Oryzias latipes: one gene and its partner. The protein of the gene in region 2 interacts with the protein of the main gene of each other region in a pairwise test. Links are inferred from orthologs where the notes say so. Each region holds a gene or a part of one and is shown on either strand. Other genes may lie near its edges. The genes, in order: uso1 and xpo7.

The links.
Region 1: the proteins of xpo7 (region 2) and uso1 interact in binary tests that used the Homo sapiens proteins (3 or more experiments, as listed by UniProt). The two-hybrid records come from large-scale screens. The link is inferred for Oryzias latipes from reciprocal best matches to the Homo sapiens genes XPO7 and USO1.

Annotation. Positions count from the first base shown.
Region 1 is NC_019859.2:16,828,299-16,832,907, reverse strand, and holds the start of uso1 (general vesicular transport factor p115), read right to left. Parts: upstream 3,043-4,609; 5' UTR 2,873-3,042; coding exon 2,807-2,872; intron 1,952-2,806; coding exon 1,865-1,951; intron 1,053-1,864; coding exon 988-1,052; intron 841-987; coding exon 764-840; intron 296-763; coding exon 284-295; intron 1-283. UniProt on the Homo sapiens protein: General vesicular transport factor required for intercisternal transport in the Golgi stack; it is required for transcytotic fusion and/or subsequent binding of the vesicles to the target membrane.
Region 2 is NC_019870.2:696,610-700,430, reverse strand, and holds part of xpo7 (exportin-7), read left to right. Parts: intron 1-1,067; coding exon 1,068-1,131; intron 1,132-3,359; coding exon 3,360-3,468; intron 3,469-3,821.

The DNA of each region.
Region 1 (4,609 bases), on a different chromosome or scaffold from region 2:
TTATTTGTGGTTAGTCATTGTGCAGTAGAGCAGCAACAGCACAACAGTTCATCAATAAACAGGCACACCTTTAAGTCTCCATGAGGCGAGTAGAAGAGTTGTTGGGTTTGCAAGAAATCAATAAATAAAATTAATCGTCTACTCGTCTCAAGTCACACAGAAGTTCAAAGGTTTTTGAGTAAAAATGCCCCCAACTAATGTCGGCCACTGCAGGGGCACCAATGTGCATGGATGAACGGCGTGGTTAAAGAGGCTGGCATCATGCATAATCCAAAAGATTTACCTTCTGATTCATCTGTGGGGTTAAAACATGAAAGAGAAGAGAAACAGGAAAATCTTTATACAACACATTCAATACTAGTGGAAGTAATTAAAAAAGGAAGGAACGCAGACCGAAGGCTCACAAACTGATACAAACGTCCAGCTTTGTGCTCATGCAAACGCAACACTGTTCAGTAAAGCTGCGTTTAATAAAAACAAATCAATTTCCCTTCAGAAAATCAATATTTGTTTCCAAATACAATTAGTTTTGAATCAAAATTTGAAATATAAATCAATATGAAATCAAGTTGTGAACTTATCAAAACCGATTAAATAATACTGAATTAGTATATTGCTAGTGGTGGCTCTCTATTAAGTACAATGAACTTGAATTTCGGGAATCCAAAAGGATTGCTATAGAGTTATTGTTATTATAGACATAAAAATTAATCTAATCGTACCAGGACAAAATAAAAACACCAAAACCTTATAGGTTGTGTACCTTGTTCTTCTTCCTCATCATTGCAGATGATGTTGTAGAGTGTGTCCAAAGAATAGCCAAGGATTTCAGAGTCAGATCTGGAGCATTTGGGGAAAAATTAAAATATTTTCAAAAAATGAAAATATCTTTTTTTTTTTCAGCCCGACTTCTATTTTACAGGTCAATTGTCGTTTATTGATCTATAATGTGAGAAAAAGGGCTTCAATCTAGAAACAAGGAGATACCTGTCAGTCTGCAATATGGTAACCAGGTGATCCATGGCCTGTGTGCCAACTTCCATGCGGTATTTCTACAAAAAAAAGAAAAAATGGATTCCTCAATAATGGATTTTGTTTCTGCAACTTTAGAAAAAACAACTTAAGTCTACAAGAAAAAATGCTTTCAGAGTCCAATGAAATGTATGATTTAATAAAGAATATTTACTAAAATTATTGATCAAGGCTTATAAATGTTTTTCTTGAGTTTAGTTCTTATTTATTTATTTATTTTTACAAATAAACTGCTTCACAGTAAGAAATAAAAAAAAAAGGTTGAAGGTCAAAGGTTAAATTCAGAGATTTTATCTGAAAAACTAAGAACATTTAACACACTAGACCTACATCCTTTGACGTTTGGTACAGTATGATTTTATTATAATATGCCTTTTAACACTTTCCGTATATTAATTTTTCTTTAAGCTAGTGAGGAAAATAAAATTCAACAAGTTACCTGTAAATTCCTCTATGACACCTTCATTTTTCTGTATGATTTATACATAAATAAATAAAATCCATCCTTTTTTCATTCCATAGGAATCAAGTTGCCAATTCTGAGCCCAACTTAGAACCAGCTCATGCTAGAAGAATACCTGAGGAGCATCAAATCCTTAATGGTGTCATACAAAGATGCAGATGTGTTATAAGATGGTCAGCATTAAAGCAAGCATCTTAAAGTGGTGGCGGCCAATTTAAAAATAAAATCTGTTCTTATTTAAGACAAAAAAAACAATAATTCAGCTCTCTCATAGATAAGACATTGAAGCCTTAATGTAAGCACAAACACAAAGATTTCCTACATTCCCTACCTAAATGTACATCTGCAGAGTTTGTGTTAATTCTATACCTTAGAAAGGGATTTGAGGGCCCGGACAGCGTCCCTTCGGTCCTCCAGGAGTGTTGAGGAAGCAACCCTGTCACACAACTTCTGGATCTGTTAACAAACAAGAAGACAAACGTTTTTTTCCAGAACACATTTTTAATTTCTTAATCAAAATAATCTAAATTTTGTGTCATACTTTTTATTTACATATCTATATTTTCCCCACAACTATAAAACACCCAAAATTAGTGTTGAAGGGCTGTTATAAAAGGCTTGATGCTAAAAAAACAAACAAAAAAAACCAAAAAGATTAGTCCTGTAGCATGGCACATTATTAATAATGAATACAAAGGTTAATTTGATCACATTTAAATACAAAAAAATGTTTTATTTACAGATAACTTCACCACTCAAAGATATCATTAAAAATTGAAAGGAAGTCAACAGAAAGACAAATTTAAGCAAACCATAATTTAATCCCCATCAGGAAATTAAGATTGAACCGTTTTTCTACATTCTACTGGGGTGAAGTCACAGATGTAAAGGAGTTCATTAAAAAAAACTAGCACACGAAAGTGTGTTTTTATTTCTTGTAATCTAAATAACCACTAGAGACACCAAATTAACAAAATGCTTCAACTTACATTAAAGTTCGATCTGTATTTATTGTTAACTGTCGTGAATTATAGTAAAATGTGTTTTATTATAAATGCAAGAATAAGTGTTTTATGACTACTAAAAATAACGGACAAAATACTTCGTTCGACGACTATTGCTAGGTTAGCTTGTGATAGCCTTACATTTAAGGGCTTTTTAAATCAACCGATTCCATGTTACTTATCTTTTAAAATGCGCCCCAATAACATAAATTTATCATTTTTCTTTTCTATACATGTCTTCGTTTTTTTTGTGGATCATAGCGGCAAAAATTCAAGTCAGATGTAGCTAGCATTGCTAGATTCCTACCGTCTCAGCTCCGGTGGGTTGCGGCCCGGCAGCCTGCCCTCCCATCACTCCCCTGAGAAAGTTCATATTGACAGGCGTCTTCTCAGAGAAGACTTCCAACCAGACGGTTTGTTTTGTTGAAGAAGAGACTCCGACCACTGTCTCAGTGGCACAAGTAAAAAATGTATAAAAATAGAAGAAAGACAGAGAGAGTGTGAAGAGTTACACTATGGGGCACTATGTACAGCTACCAACCCCGGATGTGAGATGGACGCGCATGCGCACTAACTAGACCATACGTGGCTCACCCGCACGAGTGATCAGTTTTCTTAAAGGGCCAGAGCACTAAATCTTTCTGCCACGTGAACTGCAGAGGTCGCTGTGAGAATAAATCCAAACTTCAATAAATCCAGCACTATAATCCATTATGTTCATGACCAAATAAACTATTATATGATATTGAATTTATTATATTAAGAAAATACGTATTATTTGCCCATTTTTTAGTTTTTGTACAAAATCAACATGTAAAATCTATTAAAAGGACCGAAAAACCTGATTATATATAAATTTAAAAAACCAATGTAATGCTTGAGACAAATAATTACTGTCTGGTTGAATTAAAAAAAATGCAACTCCATTTCAATTTGCTATGTGATCTAAAAGCAGAAAGGGAGGAAAACATGTTTGTGAGACATCATAATGACAAGTAAAACTCTTTAAAATACTTGTTGAAAGTGATTTTTTTTTTACAAGTTGGTGACAATATTAAAAGATAAAACATTTTTAGGCATTGGAAACAAGTAATAGGATGATCAGATAGAGTGCTATGACTTCAAATGAGTTTTATAAACTTATTTTTTGGTCTCAAAAAAATGATTTCATAAAAAGATTATTGCTTTAAAACTGAGTTTTGAAAAAAATAAACAACCAGTTTAGATAATCTAAAAATCTTCCTGGTATTTTTTTTTTAAGAAAGCTATAAGGACATGTGATATGCTGGAGAATACATGCACAAAAAATAGAAAAGTAAGCCAGAACATTGCAGATGAACAGCACAATTCAAAACAGCAGGTGATTATTCCAACAACCCAGATTTGTGAATAACCCAAACACAAAAGAAACACACTACAAAATAGAAAATCCAAGATTGAACACAGTAATAGACATAGTGATGAAGTCTAAAGTTTAATAAGGCAAATGGGACAGAGAAATAGACCACTTTTTTTTTGACAGGTGCAGTAATCTGCTGCTTGACATTATGGTCCTTTTAACCAGTAAATCCGTCAGATGCATGTAAGATTTGCATAAACAAGAACGATATCAACCATCAGTGATTGTATTGTATTTGAAAGTTAAATATTATCTGTCAGTTTACAGTGAGTGCTGACTCTCAAAAGTGTGCATCACAATTTACAAACTGTAAAAATCAATCCGAAGACAATACCTCAGAGAAGAACAAAGTCCAAAAAAGAGAAAGAAAAGTTTAAGCTATCGCTCTTTTCATAATAATGATAATGTAAAAGGCATGGCAGGGGGGGAAGCATGTTTTTACCAAAATACATCAGTGTTTCATGAAGAAATGGTTGGCCTGTGAAAGAAGAGCTCAATTTCTCACTGAAGATGAGAAACCCTTAAAATAGCAACTTTTTTCTTCAAAATTTACATTCACTTTGTAAAATAAGAAGCAATTATTTGTTAAAAAAAAAAGATTGTCTGGTAGGGGTCTTTTCCTCCAAAACATTTTTGCTTTTTTTTTTAAGGCTCCGCTTAGAAAATTCCCAGCAAACACGACTCATCAGCTGAGCTGTGCTGTTATCAGTA
Region 2 (3,821 bases):
CAGCACGTTACTGTGTGTGACGCGGCGTGTTACTGTGTGTGACGCTGTGAGTTACTCTGTGTGACGCTGTGAGTTACTGTGTGTGACGCTGTGAGTTACTGTGTGTGACGCGGCGTGTTACTTGTTTGTTACTTTGTCTGACGCGGCGTGTTACTGTGTGTGACGCGGCGTGTTACTGTGTGTGACGCGGCGTGTTACTGTGTGTGACGCTCTGAGTTACTGTGTGACGCGGCGTGTTAAGGCCCGTACACACCGGGACGAATATTCGGCAGGCGTTATTCGCCAGCGTTTTTCGCCACGTTTTTTGTGTTCACACCCAGGCGATTTTCGCTGACGATGAGCAGAGCGAACATGCAATTTCATTCCCTGACATTAGATGGCGCTTAATGTAAAACAGAAATACTCCTGTACACAAGGTGGCGCTGCGCAACTTTACGCTTCTTAAAGTCGCTTTTCACTCAGAAGAAGAGAGCAAGTATTTACACGCTTGTCAGAATCAAACAAAGAAAACATGAATATTTCAAGCATCAGTAGCTCCAACTAGTGCTTGGTTCGGGGATATTTTAGAATGTCCGTCATTATTGCTTCGCGGCAGTGTAGACGCTACTTGGCGTCTATCTTCTTTGCTGGTATGTGTGCTCAGCAAGGCAGTTTTGTGTTTGAGCGCCCCCAAGTTGTGTTTTACTGTAACTTCAGAAGCTCCAGACACGTGAGCAAAAGCGCCATTCTCATTGGTCGAGTAGATTTCGACGCGACGCGTCGAAAAAAAAACAACGAACCCGAGGCGTTTTTTTTTTTGACGCTTTAACGCGTGGCGTTTTTTCGCGTCGGTGTGCACACTCTCGTTGGTGCCCTTTGTTTAGTCACGAGGCGTTAAACGTCGGCGAAAATCGCCGGCGAAATTCGTCCCGGTGTGAACAGGCTATTACTGTGATTGACGTGGCGTGTTACTGTTTGTTAGTTTGTGTGACGCTGCGTGTGATGCGGCGTGTTACTGTTTGTGACGCGGCGTGTTACTGTGTGTGACGTGGCGTGTTACTGTGTGTTCCCTTAACTCCCGTTTGCACGTACAGCAGCGTGAGGAAGCTGGTGAAGCTCAGCGCTGTGCAGTTCATGCTCAACAACCACACGGTGAGTGTTTCCTCCACGCAGACGGGAGCCTGGCAAGGTCAAAAATCTGACAACCGTCCTGTTTATTCATATATATATATATTACATATACAGTGATCCCTCGCTATAACACGGTTTACTTTTCACGGTTTCGCTACTTCACGGATTTGCATTGTGCATTGTCTTCTGCATTCTGATTGGCTAAAAAGTCACTCCGCTTCTTCTCTACCTGTGCATCAATAACGTTGCAGTTTAATATGTACACGTACGTAAATCAGCTTGCCAAATTTACAACACGTACGTGCAAATTCTCTTGCAATTTCGAGTTTCTCCAAAACCTATAGAAAAATAGCGACAACAACTGCCTATAATTATGTTCTTCTCCTGGACAAACACAGCTGCGCCGCGGGCTTCAATAGAAGAAAACACTGCAGAGCGGAGTCAGGATGCAGCGGCTCAGACTGAAGAGCAGTGAAATACACCTGAGTCACTATTTGTCCAACTGTACTTTGTATTTTTTTCATAATCATTTTAAATTTTCTCCCGTTTAATCCAATTACTCTCGGGTCGCGGTGGGCGGGGCTAATCTCCGCGATTTGAAGCTTTCTGTTCACATTGATGATTCAAATTATTATTTGACAGAACAGTACAGAAGTTATTTGTTGAAAAAACCTTTCTAAATTACTTTTATTTGTGAAACAAATGCTTGAGCCTGTGAAATGGTTTGTTCTTTCTTTTCAATGTATAATAGACTGTTTAATTGTATAATAATTGTAAAAACAAATAGAGGTTTCTACTTCACGGATTTTGCCCATCACGGGTTCTTTTTGGAACGTAACCCCCCCAGACAAAAGTAAAAATGGATTCCAAGTGTCATCAATCAAATATTAAAATATAAAAACATTTTAGAACCGTTTTGTTCTTAACTCTAAGCTCTAAGTTTTCTGGAGTCAAACAGAAGGAAACCAGGAGTTAAATTCAGAATTTTATGGAAAGAAGTTCACCTCTGGGTCCAATCCATTGACTGAGGGACCCCCGCCCCAAACAGGAAGTACCCAAAATCCCACAGACGTCTATAGAGACATAAACAGCTGTTATTCAGTCATTCTATTGGTCAGAAGAACCGTTCTGGGTCTGATACCTTTTTTAACATCTTCTTGATAATCCTCATTTTTTCATGATATTTTTTCTGTAGTTAGTTAATCGTAATGTAAACTGACCAATCAGATGCCTCAATAAAAGTAGGTGGAGCCACCTGGCCCCCACATCAAACGTTCAGAATATTTGACGGATATTGTAACCTGCTTTGAGTGGTAGGGGTGTGGCCTTCCAACAAGCTCACTTCTAATTGTGAGAGTGGTTTCCATAGAAACGGTGACTCTGCCCGATCACTGCTTACTGACAACGTCTGGCTCCAATGTGGCAGCGTGCGTGTTGTGAAAAAATGGTGATTAAATTGACTTCATTTGATTGGAGCTGGAAGAAACCATTCTTCTATGGGGGGGGTCACACTCAATATAGTTCTTAGATGCTGTCAGTGGTTGAAACCAACCAGGTTCTGCAATGGGGGGGTTCTGAAGGCAGAGAACGAGTTTTGGAGCAGAATGGTTCTAAATTATCCAGTTCAGTAAGGACTGTGAAGCGAGCAGAACCATGCGTAGAACCACAGTCCAACTGGGACCCAGAACAGGAACACTTGAGTTTTAGAAGTCAGAGAAAACCCAGTTTCTGCATTTAACTCAGGGTTTTTAAACCCACATTTCATAAGAGCCACAATAAGAACAGACGTTTCTTAATGGTAGAACTTCAGCCGTGGTTCTATTTGATGGAGGTTTGCAGTCGATTAAAGTATCTTAACATGCAGGTGGAGTAGTCACGTCTTGAAACTCCAGGGGGTCAGGATGGAGCTTCAGCTTCAGAAGTGATGTGGAAAAGAACCAGTGAGGGTCTTTAATGGACCGGAGCCTCTGATGTTTCCGGTCAGCTGGAGTTCTAGCATCCTGAACGTTCAGTCATTCTGCATCAGGCCTCTAGGGCTGCTGTCTGTGTGGTTTCCATGACTGATTACCTGGTTCAGGTTGTCCAGCCAATCACAACATGCCAGAGAAGAGTTTGTTGGAAAAAAAGCAGGAATGCGGCCCCCGAGGCCTGGAGTTGCCTGTTCCTGTGTTGTAGATGTTCCAGGTCTGACAGCAGACGGCTGGAAGCGCTGATTCCGGTTCTGATTCCGTGCTGCTTCTCTGCTGCAGAGCGAACACTTTTCCTTCCTCGGGGTCAACAACCAGTCCAACCTGAGCGACATGAGATGTCGGACCACCTTCTACACGGCTCTGGGGCGCCTCCTCATGGTCGACTTGGGTATGTACACATCTGAACGGCGTTTCTGAAGAAGAGGCTGACGTTTCAGATCTGAAACATGACTTTAAAGAATAGTTACATGTTCAGGGAAGTTTTTCTTTATATTTTCACATAGAAACTGTTGGTTTTCTTTAATGATAATAATGGATTAGATTTTCCAGACGCTCAAAGTTCTTCCAGTGTGTCCATCATTCATTCATACTTGGAGATGGTAACTGCTGATGCAGCCGCAGTTGCCCCGGGGCAGACTGGCAGTACCCGCCTCCCTTTTCTGCCATAAGGAACTCACTGTTTTAGTGAAGCCTTCACCCACCAGTGGACCCCGCTCATCTGCTCAACAAACGTTCATCTGT